Canis lupus familiaris: one gene and its partner. The protein of the gene in region 2 binds, or shares a complex with, the protein of the main gene of each other region. Links are inferred from orthologs where the notes say so. Each region holds a gene or a part of one and is shown on either strand. Other genes may lie near its edges.

What was found. The genes of interacting proteins can lie anywhere in the genome.
Region 1: CDHR5 (region 2) and ANKS4B share a complex: the UniProt entries of both Homo sapiens proteins name them as parts of the IMAC/intermicrovillar adhesion complex. The link is inferred for Canis lupus familiaris from reciprocal best matches to the Homo sapiens genes CDHR5 and ANKS4B.

Annotation. Positions count from the first base shown.
Region 1 is NC_049227.1:24,464,793-24,468,809, forward strand, and holds the start of ANKS4B (ankyrin repeat and SAM domain-containing protein 4B), read right to left. Parts: upstream 2,802-4,017; 5' UTR 2,775-2,801; intron 1,177-2,774; coding exon of another isoform or gene 1,082-1,176; intron 478-1,081; coding exon of another isoform or gene 394-477; intron 1-393. Other genes in the region: ZP2 (zona pellucida sperm-binding protein 2 precursor), read left to right, coding at 394-477, 1,082-1,176, 2,802-2,954, 3,760-3,801, 4,003-4,017. UniProt on the Homo sapiens protein: As part of the intermicrovillar adhesion complex/IMAC plays a role in epithelial brush border differentiation, controlling microvilli organization and length. Plays a role in assembly of the complex.
Region 2 is NC_049239.1:26,066,410-26,070,337, forward strand, and holds the start of CDHR5 (cadherin-related family member 5), read right to left. Parts: upstream 2,801-3,928; 5' UTR 2,735-2,800; coding exon 2,680-2,734; intron 2,587-2,679; coding exon 2,411-2,586; intron 2,129-2,410; coding exon 2,078-2,128; intron 922-2,077; coding exon 829-921; intron 717-828; coding exon 615-716; intron 505-614; coding exon 394-504; intron 320-393; coding exon 149-319; intron 1-148. UniProt on the Homo sapiens protein: Intermicrovillar adhesion molecule that forms, via its extracellular domain, calcium-dependent heterophilic complexes with CDHR2 on adjacent microvilli. Thereby, controls the packing of microvilli at the apical membrane of epithelial cells.

The DNA of each region.
Region 1 (4,017 bases), on a different chromosome or scaffold from region 2:
ATGTAGGACGTTTTTTAAACTTCAAGTTGGAAAGTCTTTAGACACAACATTTGTTCTCCAGTTCTTTACAGACCTATCATCTCCACCTCCATTAGCCTCACCGTCAAGGTTCTAGTCATATAAGTATGCATGGTTAACCCTATTTTAGGCTTAACTCTGGAAAACTTCAGAAAGCCCCAGGCATTTAATTAATACCTTCCTTATAGTATTTTGCATTGTAGTGATCTTTCTCACGAACCTGTGAGCTACTTGAGAATAGGGGTCAAGCTTTGCCTCTCTCAACTGGTATCCTTCCTTGATGCCTGTTGGAGAGGAGATGCGCCCATACACTTTTTTAGGAATCCTGCCTCCTGTGGTTCAAAGATACTCCCAAATGCTTTCTTTGCTCTCCAGGTACTGTCATTTGCCATGAAAATAAAATGACAGTGGAATTTCCAAGGGATCTTGGCACCAAAAAATGGCATGCATCTGTGGTGGGTAAGTAATGTGTATATTCTTAATCTTGCCTCAAAGCTAGCCCCATTTTTCAGGTGCCACATACTCTGGAACAACTGGCATCCAATTCCCATGATACCACAGGGGTCCCTGATTTGCATGATGTCACCAGGAGTGGGAGACCTTGTTTCCTTAAAAACTCGTCTTCTCTCAGAATCCAATGGGAAATTTTTATTTATTTTATTTTTTTAATAATGAACTTATTTTTAATGGTGTTCAATTTGCCAACATACAGAATAACACCCAGTGCTCATCCCATCAAGTGCCCCCCTCAGTGCCCATCACCCACTCACCCCCACCCCCCGCCCTCCTCCCCTTCCACCACCCCTAGTTCGTTTCCCAGAGTTAGGAGTCTTCATGTTCTGTCTCCCTTTCCGATATTTCCTACCCATTTCTTCTCCAATGGGAAATTTTTAGCTGCAAATTATAGCATCTCTCAAAACTTGGGTCATAACATCCAGATGGGACAATAAAAAACAAAGTGATTTGAAGTAGCTTAGAAATGGATTGGCAGTCTTGACTGTGTTGCTTTGGTTTACTTTGTCACTGAAATGTACTTTTTGGCCATTTTCTCTGGCTTCTGTAGATCCATTTAGTTTTGAATTGTTGAACTGTACTTCTATCCTGGACCCAGAAAAGCTCACCCTGAAGGCCCCATATGAGACCTGTAGCAGGAGAGTGGTAAGTATTTGCTCTGAGGAGTGATTTGGGAAGTAATAACCTAGTAGTTACTACTAGTAACCCTACTACTTAAGGATACAGACCTGAGAGGAGAGCATTTATTCTCAACCAGGGGTGGTGAGTGTTCATGGTGGTGATGGTTGGTTGGTTTTTATCTTTTGTTTTTGTTTTGTCTGCCCAGACGATATTTGGTACTGTTTGGAAACCCTTTGAAGACCTTATTGGCTGTCACAATTGGAGTGGGGGGTTGTCTGTACAAGCTGAGGTTGCTGATAAACAGCCTACATTGCACAGGGTGGTCTCCTTTAACAGGAATTTCAGGCCTGAAAGGCCAGTAATACTGAGGATGAGAAACCCTGAACTTGGGGCCTTGTTGTGAGTCCCAGATTTGCCACTATCTAGTTGTGATCTCTAGCAAGTGAGCTAACCTTTCTAAGCTTTTGCTTGTTCATTAGAATAGGGAAATCATGGTACTCTCTCCACAAGGTATCTAAAGATGAATGATATGATGCAGATGAACTTGGCACAGCACCAAGATACAACAAATGCTCAAAACAAGCTATTTTGATCTGTAACCTCCATGAAAAATGGAAGGCTATTTTGGTGCTGGCAAACAGAACTGCTATGCTATAAAAAACAGGTGTGGGAAAGCAAGCAGCAGCTGAGCAATAGGGTTTTCTCTATTGCCAAGCAACAGTACTGCCTAATCAGAGTTATTGGGACCAGTAAAAGAAACCTCTCAAACGGTTCTCGAGCTTGTAGTAGGCAAAGAACATTTGGGGAATTGAGAAAGTATAGATGTGGTTCATTTAATTGATGATTTAAGTCTGGGGTATATCTTAGAAATCTGCATATGTAACTGGCCACTTGATCGAATTCCACAGTGAAGATCTTCAGTAATTTTTCCTTTCTGAAATAGCCCTTCCCAACTTGTAGAGAGCTTAGAGTTGCTTTCCTTTAAACCAAAGGCCTACAAACTATAACTTATGGATGGCCACATTTAGTCCATGGTGTGCATAAGCATAATGGTCCTTGAGCTAAGAATGGTTAAAGTTTTTTTTTGTTTTGTTTTAGGACTTAAAAAGAAAACATGTGCTAGAAATCATAAATGGCCTAAAAAGCCTAAAATGCTTACTAATACTTTATAGAAAAAGGGTGACTGTTCCTTACTAGAAACAGTTCTCTAAAGCGGGGTAAATACTGGCTTTGCCAAAAACCTGGCTCTGTCCAGCCCTCAGAATAATGGCTGCTACATAAGTTACATAAGTGCTCAGTGCATGTTTGAATGACTTGGGCAGAGGCCCCAGATTAGCCAGAACCATGATATTCAGACAAAGGTAAGTGTCAAGAAGAACTCAAAAAAAAAAAAAAAAAAAAAAAAAGAAAAAAAAAATCCTAATTCCTGAAGCTCAAGCAACTATTTGCTGCGAAGACAGGAGTCTTTACTGGGATATCTAAAAGGGCTAGCTATAGTCTCTTGGTATAAGAATCAGGTACCTTTCAGAAACTGTGGTACTGGTAACCTCAAGAGGTTTGCCCCTCAGTTAGGTCCAATGGTATTCTGGGATCACCTTTCCCATGGAGGTCCCCATACTTACTGTTCTTACTATGCCATTTGCACACAGCTTGGCCAGCATCAGATGGCCATCAGACTCACGGACAACAATGCTGCTTCAAGACATAAGGCTTTCATGTATCAGATCAGCTGTCCAGTTATGCAAACAGAAGAAACCCATGAGCATGCAGGATCCACAATCTGCACAAAAGATTCCATGTCTGTGAGTGAAGCAGGCTAACTGCTTCTCATGGTGACTACAGGGGAAATGAGGTGGTTTACACAGCTGGGGTTAGGAACAGGATCAGGATTGCAATCCTATCTTCACTACTAATTTGTTTGTTTGTTTTTTTTTGTTTGTTTTTGGGGGGCGGGGGGATGGTTTCTTAACCACACTGAGCCTTATTTCCAAGCCCAAAGTAGGGGACAATGATACCACATTAGGGTGGTGCTGAGAATTAACTGAGAGGGTATATATAGTGCTCAACACATCATACCTGGCAGTAGAAAGGATTCCGCTGGTAACTGCAATCACATTAATAACCATTTGAACAAACTGAGTACTTATCATGTCCCAGGCTCTATGCCAGATAGGATATAGTACAAAAGCAAAACAGCCCAATCACATACTCATGGATATTTATACTCTAACATAACTAAATTTGACAATGGACAAACAAAATACCTTCATACTTTGTTCTAATAATGATAAAACTGCATGGTTTGACCTAATTCTTGACTTCTATGGACAAAGCTTAAAATGTACACCTAAGGATCCAATGTCTCAAAATTGGAAGGATCTTCCAGTTGCCTTTTGGCATCAGAAGTTCAGAGATGAAATTGTCTAAGGGCACAGCTAGTTTTTATGACTGGGCCTGTGCCTCTTCTTATTCCCCACAATCAGACCTCTTGGCATACGAAATACACAGTAGTTGCTCCGGATGTTTTGCACATACTGTCAGGTAGCACGATCTCAGAAACTTTCTTTTCCAAATCAAAGCCTCACATCATGGTTTCGTTTCTTCCAGTTTACCTTTAACATTATTCCTGGCATGGCTGATGAAAATACGGTATGGAAATAACTTTTTCAATTACAGAGCTAAGTAACCTTTTGTTCTATAGTAAAGATGACTTAACTTCAACCCTGATTAAAATAGACAAATAGTCTTGAGGTTAAGGTGGATGACTTAACTTCAACCCTGATTAAAATAGACAAATAGTCTTGAGGTTAAGGTGAGCACTAGCCCTCTAAATGAAACTTCTGTCTTCAGAATCCCAGTGGTGGG
Region 2 (3,928 bases):
GGGGCCTAGAGCCCGCGTCTGCCCCGCTGCCCCCGGCGCCTTGGGGTGCCTCTTGTGGCGGGCGGCCCACTTCAGCGGGTCCCCAGGGGTTCTGGCCCGGCCGCAGGGCCCCAAGCCCACACACCCCCCGCCCCCCCACCCCCAGTACCAGTCTGTGGCCTGTGGGGATGGCCCCCTGGTACTCGGCGTTGATGCAGACGTAAAGGTCTGAATAGGCGCAGGGCAGGAACCAGGGGGGCCGGAGGTCGGCGGGCCGCACGTCCAGGACCAGGGTGGCCGTGGCTGTGTGGCTGGGCTGGGCGTTCTCCTCCTGTGTGTCCTGTGGGAGCGCAGCGGGGGTCAGGCCTGCGAGCGGGGGCTGGGGGCAGCGGGGGGGTGTCCCGGCCTGCTCACCCGCACCAGCAGCAGGAGGCTCATGTTCTGCCACTTGTAGAAGTCCAGGGGCCGGTCCAGCCGCAGGGCGGGCAGGTTGGTGCCCAGCAAGGAGAAGAAGCTACCAGCACCCTGGGGAGGTGGGGGGGGCGGGTGCGACTCAGCCTGAGACCCTGGGGAACATGGAGAGGGGCTGCCCGACGGGAGGGTTCAGAGTTGGCGTGGGGGTCGGGGACACTGACCGGGGTCACCTCTTGGAGGGTGTAGAACAAGACGTCATCCTTGTCGGGATCTTGAGCCTCCAGTTCCGTCTCAGGGATGACAGTGGTGTTCACTTTACTGTCCTGGGGATGGAGGGGAGTGGTGTCTACACCCTCGACCCCTGGTCCCCCAGGCCAAGGCCCAGGCCACTAGCCCTGCTCTCCGGCCCCTCGCCCCCCGCCCCCCGGCTCTCACCTCGGGCACGTCCTCCACCCGGAGTTTAAAGGGGAACTTGGGTGGGTTGTCGTTGACGTCCAGCACAAACACAATCACCCTCAGCTGGGTCACCTGCGGGGACACGGCCTGAGCACCCTGCATCACACACGGGCCGCCGCGAGCCCGGGGACGGCAGGTGCCCGGGCAAAGGACTTGGCTACCGGCCGGGCTGGGGCACCGCCAATCCCAGGTGAGAACCACGGCGAAATGAGCAAATCGCTTCAAAAATAATTCCCGAGGAGAAAGGAAGAGAGGAAGGGGAACCCATATGTTGAAAGAGGCTCGGGAGGGGCACCCGGCTGGCTCAGTGGGAGGAGGGGGCGACTCTTGATCTCGGGGTGGGAGTTCAGGCCCACGTTGAGGGGAGAGATTGCTTCAATAAACACACTAGAGAGGAAGGGCCGGAGGGGCAGATGCTAGAGAGAAGTAGCCGGCGGCCTCGCTGGGTGGGCCTTGCTGGCGGCTCCGTGACTGTGGGGAGGGCGGGCATCGGGGGTCACATGATGCCCACGAGTCCCTTTGCAGATAATGACAAAATCGGAAGGACCGGGGACCGTGGGCAAGCCGACAGGTGCGTGGGGGCCGGGCTTGCAGCTCAGGACAGAGTGGTCAGGGGCCCCTTGAGAAGGTGGTCCTGGAGCGAAGGCCGAGGGGCGACAGCGGGAGGCAGGTGCGCGTCTGGGGAGAGGGCTCAAGGGCAGCTGGAGCGGCCTCGGGCTGGGGCACCTGGCGCTGCCCGCTGCCCGGGGCATTCAGCCTTGCCTCTGAGCGGGAGAGCAGCCGGGGCGCCGGGCGGGGATGCGCCGCTGGCTGGGCCCGATGGTCCTGCCACACTGAGACTGGACTGGCTGAGGCCGGGAGGGGAGCAAGCAGCCAGCTCCAAGTTTCCGGAAGGGAGATGCTGGTGGCCAAGGCCCTGGTTGGTCTGGAGTCCAGCTTCAGGCAGAGCTCACGGACTTGCCGATGGAGAGAGGTGTGGGGAGGGGGTGGGGGCGAGGGAACCGGTTGGGCAAGGTGCCTCTGTGCTGGGGGGTCTGCACCTCGGGGCAGTCTGGGCGGGAGGAAGTGGGGGCGCCAGCCCAGGAGCGACACTTGTAAACCGCACAGGGTGAGGTCCCCAGGGCGGGGCCCTGGACCAGTCAGAACAGAGTGCAGAGGTCCAAGCCCAAGAGCTGTGATGTCATAGGGTGGGGGCGGCGACCCAGAGGCAGGGGATGGGGGTACTCACCACGGTGTTGCCACTCTTGCACTCCAGGTGCGCCTCCAGCAGGGTGTTCTCCTGGGGGGCAGACGGGGGCCGGGTGGTCACCAGGGTCCCCAGCGTCCACGCTAAGTCCAGGGGCAGCTCCAGCCCCTAATGGCCCTATGCCCCTTGGGGCCAGGGCATCACCAAGCCTGGAGGCCCCAGAGGGGTCCGTGGATGATGCGGGGGCGGGGCGGCCAGCGAAGCGCAGACGGACCCCGAGCAGACGGACCCCGAGCCTGGGACAGCCCCGGTCCGAGGAGCGCGCCCGCCACTCAGCTGCCCTGTGTGGGGCCCCACCCGGCCCCCCGTCTGCACCTCATAGTCAGGAGTCACGTTGAGAAACAGCTCAGTCCCCTGGATCCGAAAGGCGAAGGGAGTGGACGACGACCCGAGGGTCACCTGCTGGCCCGCGGGGACGTCGATGTGAGCCAGGGGCCCGCTCTGAATCGTGTTCTCCTGGACCTCGAAGATGTTGTTGCTTACGGCGCAGACTGGAGAGCAGGAAGGGAAGGCTCAGTGCCCCCCACCCCCCCGCCCCTGCACCCCCCCCGCCGCCCCAACTGCCCCCGCCGCCCCGCAGCTACCCTGGGCCCGTGCCGTGGCCACCAGCAGCGGCAGCAGCAGGGCCCAAGCCCCCATCTCCGTGGGCCGCGCTGCTCGACCCTGTGCGCAGCTGGCTGCCGGGTGGCGGCTCAGCGGGCGACCTTTGCCCCACCAGGCACCGCCCCACAGTGTGATCCTTTACAGGCCTCGGCCTCCAGCAGGGGGGCTTTCGCCGGCCGCCGCCCAGGCCTGGCCAGCTGCCCGGAGGGGGCGTCCCGTGGTTGCCCACCAGCCCTGGGCCACGTGCGGGGGCCATGGCCACGGGGGCTCCCGGCTCAGGGCTCCATGGGCCTGCGCAGGGCCCGGGTCGTGCTGGGTGGGCGCAGCCGGGGCAGGGGTTGGGGGCCCAGGCCTGGCTCCCGTGTCTGCTGTACCCACCCGTCCCCCTAGCCCCGGCCGCCCCTTCGCTGGGCTCTCCTTCCAGAATCATCTTGGAGCCAAGTCAGACCCCGGGTGTTCCCTCCAAGCCCACCTCCCCTCCCTGCACAGTCTGTGTCCTGGGGTCGCCCCTGCCTGTGCTGGAAACACCCCACTTCCTCCAAGGGCAGGGGTGGGGGCGGCAGTGTTTCTGGAGGCTGCTGGGAGCTCGGGGCGGGGGGAGCCCGGGTCTTCAGGGGTCCCTGGCAGGCTCCTGGGCCCTGGCCCCTGCCGCCCTACCCCAAGGGCCCCCAAGCCCAAGGCAGCAGGGGAGAGGCCCCCCCCACGCAGGGACAGTAGGGGGTGTGGCCCTTCTGCTTCCTCGCCCTTGGCTCCTGGCCTCATCCCTTCCTGTGTCAGCACCGCCTCCGTGGCTCCCCTGGGGTGTCATCCCCCTCTGCACAGGCTCAGACCACACAGCCGGGAGCAGGAGCCAGGCTCACAGCCTCCCCCTGGGGTGCACTCCTGGGCCCCTGGTGGCACCCATGCCCGTCACCTCTTCCTGCCCGGCCTGAGCCTCCTTGCCCCCCAGGTCCTCCCACCGGCTGGCACTGTGACAAGGGGCCTCCAGGGCAGGTGTCCTGTGCCCCCCCAGAGCCCCTGAATGTTTGCTGAGTAGCTGGCAGGGATCCGGATGGGTCTCTGGGGAGCTCAGGTGACAGGACAGGAGACAGAAGGGAGGTGAGGCGCCCCACAGGCTCCCAGGTGTAAAGGGCACTGGGTGTGGCCACAGTCCTGGAGCCTGTGGTCGCCTGGTGCCGCCAGCCCCGCCCTGGGGGACGGCGCAGAGGGAGCTCAGAGGGCCACCGTCTG